Macaca fascicularis: one gene and its partner. The protein of the gene in region 1 interacts with the protein of each later gene in a biochemical or structural test. Links are inferred from orthologs where the notes say so. Each region holds a gene or a part of one and is shown on either strand. Other genes may lie near its edges.

What was found.
Region 2: the proteins of MAP3K7 (region 1) and USP29 form a complex in vitro, tested with the Homo sapiens proteins (2 studies listed by BioGRID). The link is inferred for Macaca fascicularis from reciprocal best matches to the Homo sapiens genes MAP3K7 and USP29.

What each region holds. Positions count from the first base shown.
Region 1 is NC_088378.1:84,780,627-84,787,414, reverse strand, and holds the start of MAP3K7 (mitogen-activated protein kinase kinase kinase 7), read right to left. Parts: upstream 4,019-6,788; 5' UTR 3,811-4,018; coding exon 3,691-3,810; intron 1-3,690. UniProt on the Homo sapiens protein: Serine/threonine kinase which acts as an essential component of the MAP kinase signal transduction pathway. Plays an important role in the cascades of cellular responses evoked by changes in the environment.
Region 2 is NC_088393.1:64,939,529-64,946,414, forward strand, and holds USP29 (ubiquitin carboxyl-terminal hydrolase 29), read left to right. Parts: upstream 1-2,701; 5' UTR 2,702-2,717; coding exon 2,718-5,456; 3' UTR 5,457-6,346; downstream 6,347-6,886.

The DNA.
Region 1 (6,788 bases):
TGTTTAATTTACACTATATTCACAGTTTTAAATCTGTGGTCTATGGTTAACTGTTTTGTGTTTACTCCAGTCTCATATCATACTAAGTCAGACATTTTAAGGAGGTAATCCTAGGATTCTTCTGTCATCTATTTTTTTTTTTTTGACACAGAGTCTCGCTCTGTTGTGCAGGCTAGGGTGCAGTGGTGTGATCTCAGCTCACTGCAACCTCTGCCTACTGGGTTCAAATGATTCTCATGCCTCAGCCACTCAAGTAGCTGGGATTACAAGCTTGTGCCACCATACCTAGCTAATTTTTGTATTTTTAGCAGTGACAGGGTTTCTCTGTGTTGGCCATGGTGGTCTTGAACTCCTGGCCTCAAGTGATCTGCCCGCATTGGCCCTCCAAAGTACTGGGATTATAGGTGGGAGCCATCGCACCAAGCCCTATTCATCTTTTATAGTACCTCAGAGTATTATGCACAGATGAGAATGCTCATTAAATGCTCAGGACCAAGTACACTAAAAAGGAAATCAGTTTTTTGTTTCCCCTTTCCCATGTTAGGTTTGTTTATAGAGTACTTCAGAAAGTACTGAGTGACACTGTAAATCCAGTGGAAAGGGCAACTGACTCACAAGTGAGAAATCTCATATTCAATTCCCAGCTTTACCATTTACTTAGGCATGCAGCTTCTGGCAAGTCAAACTCTATGACTGCTTGTCAAGATCTGTAAAATGGTATATCATTTGCCAGGTCAACCCAGGATTAGTTGGTCACCAACTAAATTCTACAGGAGACCATGATCACTGTACGTAAAGAACTTCTAAGGTTACTGTAGAAAACAGTTAAATACTGGAAAAAATGAATGTGTTTTCATTTTAGAACTGGAAAAGACCTTAAATGATCTTGTTTAATCCCTCAGTTTACATAAGTAACCACAGGCCCAGAAAAACGTGGTGACTTCCTCAAAGTTACAAAAATATATTATGGCAGAATCAGTACAGCATCTACATTTTCTAATTTTCAGTCCAGAACACTTTCCACTATACCACCCTGTGTAACACTTCTTGCAACCCATCCCCTCTTTTATTCCAATATTCTTTACAGCCAGATCTAGATGGTAAACACTAAATGACTTTTAAAAAGTACCTAGGCAGATTTCTGAGGCTGAGACTTTACCTAATTTGATTGAACTGAACTGAATCTAAGATGTGACAAACTAATACTATTGAGTTACAATATTAGAAATGCAAGATCAGCTGATGTCTTAGAAATATGTATCTACTAAATGATTGCATATTTGGCCTGTGGTTGAATTATTTTTTTTTACAGTTTCTAATTATATTGATATAATGCAATTCAATTATATTGAGAAATACATAATATGATTTTCTTAATTTAGAAGGTAATATTCTCATACAATATAAAATATTGAAAGCAACATAAAGTAGTTTTTGTTTCTGGTCATCTTCCTCTGTTATCTTACAACTGAACTGGAAGTGTAATCTAAGTTGACAAATAGCTAATAAGTGTCCTTGGTTCACTCTGGATTGTGTAACACTGGTTTAATGTATGCAAATGAAGAACATGATGGAAATTATGTAATGCTTTCAATATCAGAAAGATCCAAATACAATCTTTAATGCAAAAATGAACTGAGTATTAAAAATGAAGGGGAATAAAACAAACAAAAAACCCAAATGACTGCCTAATATTAAAAACAAATTTTCGTCTAAAAACAAAATCCTACTCCCCAGAAATGTCCTAAACACACGCACACCCACATACACACAAAGATTGAAACATTATCTAAATTGAGAGAAGGGTCTTGGAAACACAGAAACCTAACCAGAAGTGAAATAGCTTTAGGGGAAGAACATCAAAATGATAACTACCTCCTTAGTAATTTGTTTTTCCATGAATCAAGAATGTAAAAAGCTTTAGAAAGTAGCATACAAAAACTAAGGTTGTAAGAACCAAATGAAGTAAGTTTGTGAAAGCATTTGGTAGACCATAAAGCACAAGTTATTATTATATAACAATTTGTAGTCTACAAGCATAGCAATTCACCACAGAGGAGACGTAAACGCTTATTTAAAAACTGCAATTCTTGTATACTGACTCATGGAATTTTTATTCTTAAAAAAGAATATTAGCCATGAAAGTTGGATCAACTATCCACTTCTGGAAAAGGAATTTATCATAGCCTCAATGTAAAAAAAAAAAACTTAAAAACATTCCCCCCTCTTTTCAAAATACAGGTCTTCTTTTAGCCATGTGACCTTAAAGCAGGTCACATTTCCTCTCTGGAACTAGGTTTCCTAATATGTGTCAGGCCCTGTGGTAGGTGTTTTGCATATAATGTCTACTAAGATCTGTTATGCAGATAAGATGAAACAGAATTTATTAGCCCTTTCTAAAACTAAAATTCAAAGGGGTTAGGAAACTTGCCCCAAATCACACAGCTAATAATGGCATATCTGATACATTGAACTTTCCTCTAATTCCAAAGACCTTGCTTTTCCCACCATATTATCTTGTAAAATGAGGATGTTCTCAATGATCTCTAAAGTTACTTTATGTGATAAAAAGTATATAATTCAGTAATCCATTACTCTTCCAAAACATGCACAGGAAAAAAAAATTTATTTGTTGAACGTTATCTCACTACTTCGAACTTGCTGACACTTAAAAATAATTTTAGAATTTTAAAGTAGACATAACTTGTTGACAATCTATAATATTTCACTAGGTTTTTCACGGGATATATAACGCAAGTGCTTAATAAATTAAAAAAACGGCAAATAAATGGTAAGATATAGTATTTTCAGCCAAAGTTTTTAACAAGTTCTAAAGTCTCTTTAAAAAATATATATGCAGCTTTTACTTTTCTAAATTTTATAGTCATTAGAACCCAATTTACCTCTCTGTTAATCTGAAAAGCAACACTTTAAAGTCACTTTGAAATAGCTTGTTCTAAAATGAATTACTGCAGAATAAAGAAAGGATATGGGTTTTCTGATAGCGATTTCCAGTCTAATGTTATATTCTGATTGTCACCGATCATTCGTTATCTCTTCAGAATATGCTACTTGAAACATCTTTTGATCGTAGACCAGTCTGTGTTACTTATGGTGAAATTCACCTACGTTAGCCCAACTGAAAGCCGAGCGTTTAAACATTACGAGTATTGCTGTGCGGTATCGGAGAAACTGAGAACCATTCGATGCTAAGGGAAACACTTTATTAGACTTGATGATCTACTAATTTAACAAGCATTTATTGAGCATCCCCTACATGCCAGATACTGAAGTAGAAGTCGAACATAATACAATTATTGGCCATTAAGAACTTCACGTCCAGCGGACTGAAACTCCAGAACGGCTACGATCTTCGCTGAAACTACTACTTACAGATACGAGAACTGGAGGACCACACTGTCTCACCAGTTCATTCTCCTGTTTATCACCGGAATATCAAATCCAAAAGCAAGAGTACTCAAGACAGGAAAAAAGGCAGCTACTCCCAAGCAGTTGAGCTCAGAGAGTAACCCCCACTCCCACGTCAGTGAAGGCTGTTGGGTCTCCCGGGTGGACCCCACAGGGTCCCGCGAATTAGAGGGGCCGGGGAGGCACCTTCAGAGCCGGGACCAGACAGAGGCAGGGGCGGGCCGGGCCGGTACCGGCGTCTCCATGCAGGGCCTCGCTCACCTCTTCCACCTCGATTTCCTTGTAGTCGATCTCTTCAAAGTTGAGGACTTGAGAAGGGGCTTCGATCATCTCACCGGCCGAAGACGAGGAGGAGGAGGAGGCGGCAGAGGCTGTAGACATGATCCCTCGCGGCGCCCGGTGGGGCCGGGAGCGGTGCCGCCCGGACAATCCGGGTGAGATCCACGCCCACCCGCCTCCGGACCGACCCTCAGGCTGGAGCCGCGCAGTCCTGCTACCCGGCGATCCGTGGCGGGGATAGCGGCAGCGGCCACAGCCGGGTCCGGATCTGGCTCCGCTGCGTTTTCCGCCGCTGGGCCCCGCCCACTACACTTCCGGTTCCGGGCTGAAATCGGAAACAGGAGGTGGGCCGTAAACTCCGGGGGAGGGAAGGGGAGAATTTTGTGACTTGGAAAGAAAAGGAGGGACAGGTTGGGGGTGGGGTGGAGTAAACTAAGAAGCAAGCTTGGACCTCTAGAACAAATTTCGCGAGACCTTTATTACAGGGCCTCAGCAACCGGATGATACCGCGAGAGAGGACGCCTGACGTAATTAAAGTGCGCGAACGGAAGTGGCGCGGAACATGACGGAAAATCAGCACGGTTGGTCCCTTAAGGACCAGCGGGAAAGATAAAAGCTGGCGTTTAGTCTCTGCTGTGTGAAGTATGTCTTGGCCTCTCTTTCTCTCCTTTGAGCTGCCAGCAGACGGGCGAGGTGGTGTTGAACTGTGTTTTTTGTGACGAAGCTTGCTTTTAAGTTTCATCCCTCAACTAAGTTGACCTGTTTCTTTAAGACGGCTTGCAAAATGTGTTTTCCTCAATGTGGGATATGGAAGGAAGCAGTTGCTCCTGTTACTTTGAGCTAGTCCCTGACGCTATGAGAAATTCTAAAAGAGCGAATCAGATCATGCAACATGAATAACTATGGAGGCTGAGTGATCAAAAACAGAAGTTAATATTTTGGTGTTACAAACTTTACACAGATTAGGTGGATAAGATATTTACACTTTGGTGTGTTCATCTCAAGTTATGGATTACGAGTGCGGGGCACTAGTGCTTTAGATTGGTAAATGAATCATCAACAGTCTCCTTGAAAATCAAATATTTTCATCACCATTTTCAGGACGTGAGAAAATACACTCAGAGTTTAAAGCAATTATGGTCCTTACAAACTAGATCAATCTGTCCCCAAGATGGTCAGTATTGCTCATGTTGTACTACCAGCACAAGTTTTAGTTTTAAACTAACTGTTGAACTTTATATAGTCCGTTTGACATAAAGCCTAACTGTGGAAAATTGGAGTTAGAGATGAAGATTTAAAGACCAAGGATGGATTCCTGCGAATGTCAAATTCTAAGTTTCAGTAAGAGACTGAAAGGAGGAAGTGAGGAAAATAGTAATTGGAACATCACCAGAGGTGAGCTTTCCAATGAAGAAGTAGCCAACCAAGTATATGCTGTACAGAATTATGTTAAACACATTTGGGATTGCAACTAGATCATTGGATTTGACCATCAAGAAGTTACAAACTTCTTGGAAACGTTCTGTCACTTTTTATTCACAGTTCTAGTGACTCGCAATGACAGTTTGATGAGTGGATAAAAAAATGAAAGAAGCAATAATTTCTTTCCACTGTACACTCTTTGTTTGCATGATCTTACCCAAGGTCTCTGTTTCTCATACCATTTTTATAATGATGACTTCTAATCTCCGAATACTCAAGATTTTTCCTGAATTCTGGACCTATTGGACATCTCTATTTAGATAAACAACTAAACTTCAAGATACCACAGCAAATTCAAAAGTTGTCACCCACCACAAATATATTTCTATGTGATTTTCCTATATCACGTAAGGATGCCATCACCCAGTTGGTTGTCTGAGAAGTCAGGGCATGTGAAATGATGTGTGGTGCACTGATACCCAATATAAGCTGATTTAATCAGTGGCACAGTCATTTTCACCTGTCATTCCCCTTGCATTTCCAAACAAGGATGGTCACTTCTTACCTTGTGCTATAACTGCAGGTCTATATCTGATTTCCCTTTAACACCTTGATCTTGCTGCCAGGTGGGAACTCAATAAATACTTACATATTCTGTACAAATGAATAGCTTTTGTCAGTCCTCCCTTTCCCTGGAGTATAAGACATGTTTTCTGTACCTTCAGTTTAGGACTGGAATCTTGACAAAGGGCTAATTACTACAGCCATGATGCAGTTCTCCTGCTTGATTATTTTTCCCCAAAATTTTGTTACAAAAATGTCAAATATAGAGAAAGGTTGAAAGAATGTTTATCATAATATACATATGTGCATCTCTCCATTCATCCGTATTTACATCCATCTACCATTTTGCTAGATGCATTTCGAAGTGAATTGATTACATGATTTTGAATATCTTCTACCCCAACACTTCTGTGTTTTATCCACTGATTTGGACTTCTGATATTGATGCCAGTCTAAAATCAATTTTTGTCCAACTTGCTTGGAGATTATTTTTTTCTTTTTTGTCTGCCTGCGCCTTTTCCCTAGCTTCTGATAATAGATGGAAAGTTTCATCAGTGTTTATGTCTCTGGGTTCAGTCATTCCCAAGGTTCAATCCATCGCTCACATTCTGTGATTTGGTTATGTGAGCTAGTAAATTACCATTTCATTTAAGCTGGTCCCAGCTGCATTTTTTGTATGACAAAAAATGCAGGATTATCTTGCAACCAAATAATCCTAAGTAATAAAGTTTAAATGCAGAGGAATGATGGAGGGGAACTGAACCTCTCTCAGTTCACTTCAATTTTGACTTTGCATTTCCTTTAACTTTCATGAATAAAGGATAGAAGCTTGACTTCACAATTTCATGTCAGCTTCAGTCACCAGTCCATATGTCTCTACAAATTTCCAGATACATATCAAAACTATTTAGGTAAATTCCTTGAAGTCCCTCTGAGTTCGAGCACTCTCTACCATTCTCCCTCATGTCAGCACCCTAATAACTACTCTCTAACTTCCAACTCTGTCTTCAATTTTGGCCCTTTTATACTCTCCAGGGGATGAGAGGACAAGGGTTTCAAAATCCATTTCCCACCTCCTCTTCACTTGTTCTAAA
Region 2 (6,886 bases), on another chromosome or scaffold:
GCCTGGTGGTGACAAAATCCCTCAGCATTTGCTTGTCTGTAGAGGATTTTATTTCTTCTTCACTTATGAAGCTTAGTTTGGCTGGATGTGAAATTCAGGGTTGAAAATTCTTTAAGAATGTTGAATATTGGCCCCCACTCTCTTCTGGCCTGTAGGGTTTCTGCAGCAATCCACTATTAATCTGATGGGCTTCCCTTTGTAGGTAACCTGACCTTTCTCTCTGGCTGCTCTTAACATTTTTTTCCTTTGTTTCAACCTTGGAGAATCTGATGATTATGTGTCTTACGGTTGCTCTTCTCAAGGAGTATCTTTGTGATATTCTCTGTATTTCCTGAATTTGAATGTTGGCCTGTCTTGCTATGTTGGGGAAGTTCTCCTGGATAACATCCTGAAGTGTGTTTTCCAACTTGGTTCCCTTCTCCCCGTCACTTTCAGGTACACCAGTGAAACGTAGGTTTGGTCTTTTCACGTAGTCCCATATTTCTTGGAGCCTTTGTTCATTCCTTTTCGTTTTTTTTCCTCTAGTCTTGTCTTCATGCTTTATTTCATTAAGTTGATCTTCAGTCTCTGATATCCTTTCTTCCACTTGATCGATTTGGCTATTGATACTTGTGTATGCTTCACAAAGTTCTCTTGCTGTGTTTTTCAGCTCCATCAGGTCATTTATGTTCCTCTCTAAACTGGTTATTCTAATTAACAATTCCTGTAGCATTTTATCAAGGTTCTTAGCTTCCTTGCATTGGGTTAGAACATGCTCCTTTAGCTCAGAGGAGTTTGTTATTACCCACCTTCTGAAGCCTACTTCTATCAATTCGTCAATCTCATTCTCCATCCAGTTTTGTGCCCTCCTTGGAGAGGAATTGGCGATCATTTGGAGAAGAGACATTCTGTTTTTTGGATTTTTCAGCGTTTTTGTGCTGGTTTTTCCTCATCTTCGTGGATTTATCTACCGTTGATCTTTGAGGCTGATGACCTTTGGATGGGGTTATTGTGTGGGGGTCTTTTTTGTTCATGATGTTGTTGCTTTCTGTTTGTTAGTTTCTCTTCTAACAGTCAGGCCCCTCTTCTGCAGGTCTGCTGCAGTTTGCTGGGGGTCCACTCCAGACTCTGTACACTTGGGCATCACCAGTGGAGGCTGCAGAACAGCAAAGATTGCTGCCTGTTCCTTCCTCTGGAAGCTTTGTCCCAGAGGGGCACCAGCCTGATGCCAGCCAGAGCTCTCCTGTGTGAGGTGTCTGTCAACCCCTGTTGGGAGGTGTCTTCCCAGTTAGGAGGCACGGGCATCAGGGCCCCTCTTGAGGAGGCAGCCTGTCCCTTAGCAGAGCTGTTGTGCTGGGAAATCCCTCTTATCAGGATCAGTTGCTCTCTTCAGAGCCACCAGGTGGGAAAGATTAAATCTGCTGAAGCTGTGTGCCCACAGCCACCCCTTCCCCAGCTGCTCTATCCCAGGGAGATGGGGATTTTATCTGTAAGCCCCTGACTGGGACTGTTACCCTTCCTTCAGAGATGTCCCGCCCAGTGAGTAGGAATCTAGAGAAGCAGTCTGGCCACAGCTGCTTTGCCACGCTGTGGTGAATTTTGCCCAGTCCAAACCTCTCACCCTCCTTAGTACTGTCCAGGGAAAAGTGTCTACTAAAGCCTCAATAATCACGGATGCCCCTCCCCCAACCAAGCTCCATCATTCCAGGTCAACTTCAGACTGCTGCACTGGCAGAGTTTCAAGCCAGCGGTTCTTAGCTTGCTGGGCTCTGTGGGAGTGGGACCTGCTGAGTGAGACCACTTGGACCCCTGGCTTCAGTCCCCTTTCCAGGGGAGTGAATGGTTCTGTCTCACTGGGGTTTCAGGCACCACTGGGGTACAAAAAAAAAAAAAAAAACTCCTGCAGCTAGCTCGGTGTCTGCCCAAACAACTGGCCAGTTTTGTGCTTGAAACCCAGGGCCCTGGTGGTGTAGGTACACAAGGGAATCTCCTGATCTGCAGATTGCAAAAACCGTGGGAAAAGCGTAGTATCCGGGCCAAGTAGCACAGTTCCTCACGGCTTCCCTTGGCTGGGGGAGGGAGGTCCCCGGCTCCTTGCACGTCCCAGGTGAGGCAATGCCCCACCCTGCTTCTGCTCACCCTCTGTGGGTTGCACCCGCTGCCTAACCAGTCCCAGTGAGATGAACCGGGTACCGCAGTTGGAAACGCAGAAGTCGCCCCCCTTCTGCGTTGGTCTTGCTGGGAGCTGAGACCGGAGCTGTTCCTATTTGGCCATCTTGGCCCCTCCCCTTTTTTAAATTTAAAAAAGTTTATGTAGCGATGAGGTCTCCCTATGTTGCCATGCTGGTTTTGAACTTCTGGCCTCAAGTGATCCTTCCACCTTGGCCTCCCAGAGTGCTAGGATTACAGGCATGAGCCACCATGTCCAACCAAATTTGTATTTCTCGATGAGCAGTGATGTTGAACACCTGTTCATCTCTCTGTTGGCCATTTGTATCTTCTTTCTCGTCTAACAGCTCCCTTGAAAGAGTGTGTGCCCTCAGTCTATGTCTTCTACAGAACTGGCGTAGCTTCAGAATACGAGCAGTTCCCCAAAAGAGTGTTTTACTTAGAGCATAAGAAGACGAAAAATAAATCATTATTATATGTGGATGAGGTTTTTCATAAAATATAACTGTTAATATATTTTTGGTTAAAATGCATGTGTGCTTTTCTTCTTTAGGTTACATAAAGAAAGGATGATATCTCTAAAGGTACGTGGATTCATCCAGATTTGGAGCCAGAGGACTGGGATGACTAAGTTGAAAGAAGCTCTCATTGAAACAGTGCAAAGAAAAAAGGAAATTAAACTGGTGGTCACTTTCAAATCTGGAAAATTTATAAGAATTTTTCAGCTGAGTAATAACATTAGAAGTGTGGTCCTTAGACATTGTAAAAAAAGACAAAGTCACCTGCGTTTAACTTTGAAAAACAATGTGTTCTTGTTTATTGACAAATTATCCTACAGAGATGCTAAACAGTTGAATATGTTCCTGGACATAATACATCAAAACAAATTTCAGCAACCCGTGAAACCTGATGATGATTGGAGTGTGTTTGAAAGCAGGAATGTGCTGAAGGAAATTGACAAAACTTCATTTTACGGGATTTGTAACAAGCCAAGTTATCAGAAGATGCCTTTGTTTATGTCAAAATCACCAACACATGTGAAAAAAGGGTTATTAGAAAATCAAGGTGGGAAGGAGAAAAACCCACTAGCATCTGGTCTACAGATGAATGAGGACATTCTGAAGGAACATAACCCTGTACCAAACAAGAAATATAAGACAGATTCCTTGAAATATATACAAAGCAATAGGAAGAACCCATCAAGTTTAGAGGATTTAGAAAAAGCTAGCGATTTGAAACTCGGGCCTTCATTCAAGACCAACTCTAATGGACATCCTAACCTAGATGAGACTGTTCTTGCAACCCAGACTCTCGATGCCAAAAATGGTTTGACATTTCCATTAGAACCAGCGCACAGCCAGGATGACCCGAGATGCAACGAAGCCCAGGTGCCTCTTGACTCTCATTCAGAGCAACTGCAGCAAGGGTTCCCCAATTTGGGAAACACCTGTTACATGAATGCAATTTTACAATCGCTGTTTGCAATTCCGTCTTTTGCTGATGACTTACTCACTCAAGATGTCCCATGGGAATATATTCCCTTTGAGGCTCTTATTATGACCTTGACCCAGCTGCTTGCTTTGAAAGATTTCTGTAGTACAGAGATCAAGAGAGAATTACTTGGGAATGTTAAAAAAGTCATTTCAGCAGTTGCAGAAATATTTTCTGGCAACATGCAGAATGATGCGCATGAGTTTTTAGGTCAGTGTTTAGACCAGCTGAAAGAAGACATGGAGAACTTAAATGCCATTTTGAATACTGGGAAAAAATGCGGGGATGAAAATTCATCTCCACAAATGCATGTTGGTAGTGCTGCCACCAAAGTGTTTGTTTGTCCTGTTGTTGCTAATTTTGAGTTTGAATTGCAGCTCTCCATTGTCTGTAAAGCCTGTGGTCATGCGGTTCTCAAGGTAGAACCTAACAATTATCTCTCCATCAACCTGCACCAAGAAACAAAACCACTTCCTTTGTCCATTCAGAATTCTTTAGATCTTTTCTTTAGAGAAGAAGAGCTTGAGTATAACTGTGAGATGTGTAAGCACAAGAGTTGTGTTGCAAGGCATACATTTAGTAGGCTCTCCAGGGTCCTTATCGTTCATCTGAAACGCTATAGCTTCAACAATGCTTGGTTGCTGGTGAAGAATAACGAGCAAGTTTATATTCCCAAATATTTAAGCTTATCTTCTTATTGCAATGAAAGCACCAAACCACCTCTTCCCTTGAGCAGTAATGCACCTGTTGGGAAATGTGAAGTCCTGGAAGTCTCTCAGGAGATGATTTCTGAGATCACCAGCCCATTGACACCATCAATGAAGCTGACCTCAGAATCCAGTGATTCCCTGGTTCTACCCGTTGAACCAGAGAAGAATGCCGACCTACAAAGATCCCAGAGAGACTGTGGAGAAGAAAGCCAAGAGCAGCATCAGGGAGACCTGGAAAATGGTTCTGCACTAGAGTCAGAATTGGTCCACTTTAGAGATAGGGCAATAAGTGAACAGGAGCTTCCAGTGGCTGACTCACTGATGGACCAGGAAGACATTTCTCTTCCTGTGATATGTGAAGATGGAGGGAAGCCGATCAGCAGCCCAGACACAAGGCTTGTCGAGGTTCATCTTCAAGAAGTGCCTCAACATCCAGAACTTCAGAAGTATGAGAAAACCAATACATTCGTAGAGTTTGATTTTGACAGTGTCATGGAGTCTACCAATGGCTTTTATGAGTGTAAAGAAAACAGGATTCCAGAAGGATCTCAAGGAATGACTGAACAGTTCCAGCAGTGTTTTGAGGAGAGCATCATAGAGGAATTTCTTCAGCAGGCACCACCTCCAGGTGTTAGGAAACTGGATGCCCAGGAACATGCAGAGGAGACCCCCAGTCAGTCTACAGAATTAAGACTTCAGCAGGCTGACCTGAACCACCTCGAGGCATTGGGTTGTGATAACCCAGGAAACAAAAACATTTTAGATACAGAGAACACAAGAGGTGAAGCCAAGGAACTGACAAGAAACGTGAAGATGGGGGATCCTCTCCAGGCCTACAGACTCATCAGTGTTGTCAGCCACATTGGGAGCTCCCCAAATTCAGGCCATTACATCAGCGATGTGTATGACTTTCAGAAGCAGGCCTGGTTCACATACAACGATCTACGTGTATCAGAAATCTCAGAGACCAAAATGCAGGAGGCGAGGCTTCACTCTGGGTATATCTTCTTCTACATGCACAATGGGATTTTTGAGGAGCTTTTAAGAAAGGCAGAGAACTCTCGGCTACTTAGCACACAGGCAGGAGTGATCCCTCAGGGGGAATAAGACGACGACTCTTTGTACAGAGCTGCTTGGCAAACTCACTCGGCCTCACTTCATCCTTGCAAGAAGAATCCTGTACTTCACTCAGAATGAAGGAACAAGTATCTCAGGATGAAAGCTCAATGAAAAACACTTATTTTGGGGTATATCTATTTTAACTGCTTCAGACACCTAGATCCCAGAACTCAGGTGCATATGCATATTTTCCCTACAAGATTAGAATGGTGCTCTTCATGTGTTGACACAATGGTTTTCAAAATGTTGTTCTCCCACCGGCAACAGCAGCAGCTAGGGACTGATTAGAAAAGCAAATTCTTGGGCCCCCTCCAGACCAACTGACTCAGAAACAGGAGGTGTGAGCCAGCAATCGGATGGAGATGCTAGTGCTCATGAGAGTTGGAAGAACACTGGTAATGTGTGGAGTATCTTGGTGTATTTTGCTACTGTTGATATGGATTGTTTATGTTAGATAAATGATTTTCACTGGATTTTTTGCGTTCCCTTTATTTTGTCCCACTGAACCTAAGACTAGGTAAGAGTCACTCCAAAAGTGGCAGCAGGGAAATTCCAACAAGAGAGTGCCCAAAACCATTCTGAGATCAGGCCAGTTGCGATTCCAAAGAAAGAAGCACTAAACACCAGAGGGATCTGTCCGGAGCATTTATGAGGGGAACTTAGAGAGTGCTGCAGCATATCCTCAGGCGGACAGTGAGAGAAAAAGCATGGCCAACTGGCTGGGCACTGTCACTCATGCCTGTCATCCCAGCACTTTGGGAGGCCAAGGTGGAAGGACTGCTTGAGCAGACGAGTTCAAAGTCAGCCTGGGCAATATATCAAGACCCTGTCTCTACAAAAAGTAATTTAGCAGCCAGGCACAGTGGCTCACACCTGTAATCCCAGCACTTTGGGAGGCCAAGGCAGGCGGATCACCGGAGGACAGGAGTTCGAGACCAGCCTGACCAACATGGTGAAACCCCATCTGTACTAAAAATAGAAAATTAGCTGGGCATGGTGGCGGGCACCTGTAGTCCCAGCTACTTGGGAGGCTGAGGCAGGAGAATCACTGGAACCCAGGAGATGGAGGTTGCAGTGAGCCGAGATCACACCACTGCACTCCAGCTGGGGCAACAAAAGCGAAACTCCATTTCAAAATAAATAAATTTGCCAGGCATGTCTCAGCTACTCAGGAGGCCGAGGTGGGAGGATCACTTGAGTCCGGGAGTTCAAGGCTGCAGTGAACTATGATCGCACTCCAGCCTGGGTGACAAAGACCCTGTCTAAAAAAAAAAGGTGGAGGATGGTCTACCTTGGTGTGTCTGCTGCCGTGAGACCGTCAGGGTATGGGGTTTATATAAGTTTATAAGGAATTTGGTCGAGGGCCGGGACCAGTTTCTTTTAGTGTTTTGGGCAGCAACCTAAACCTAAATACCTCT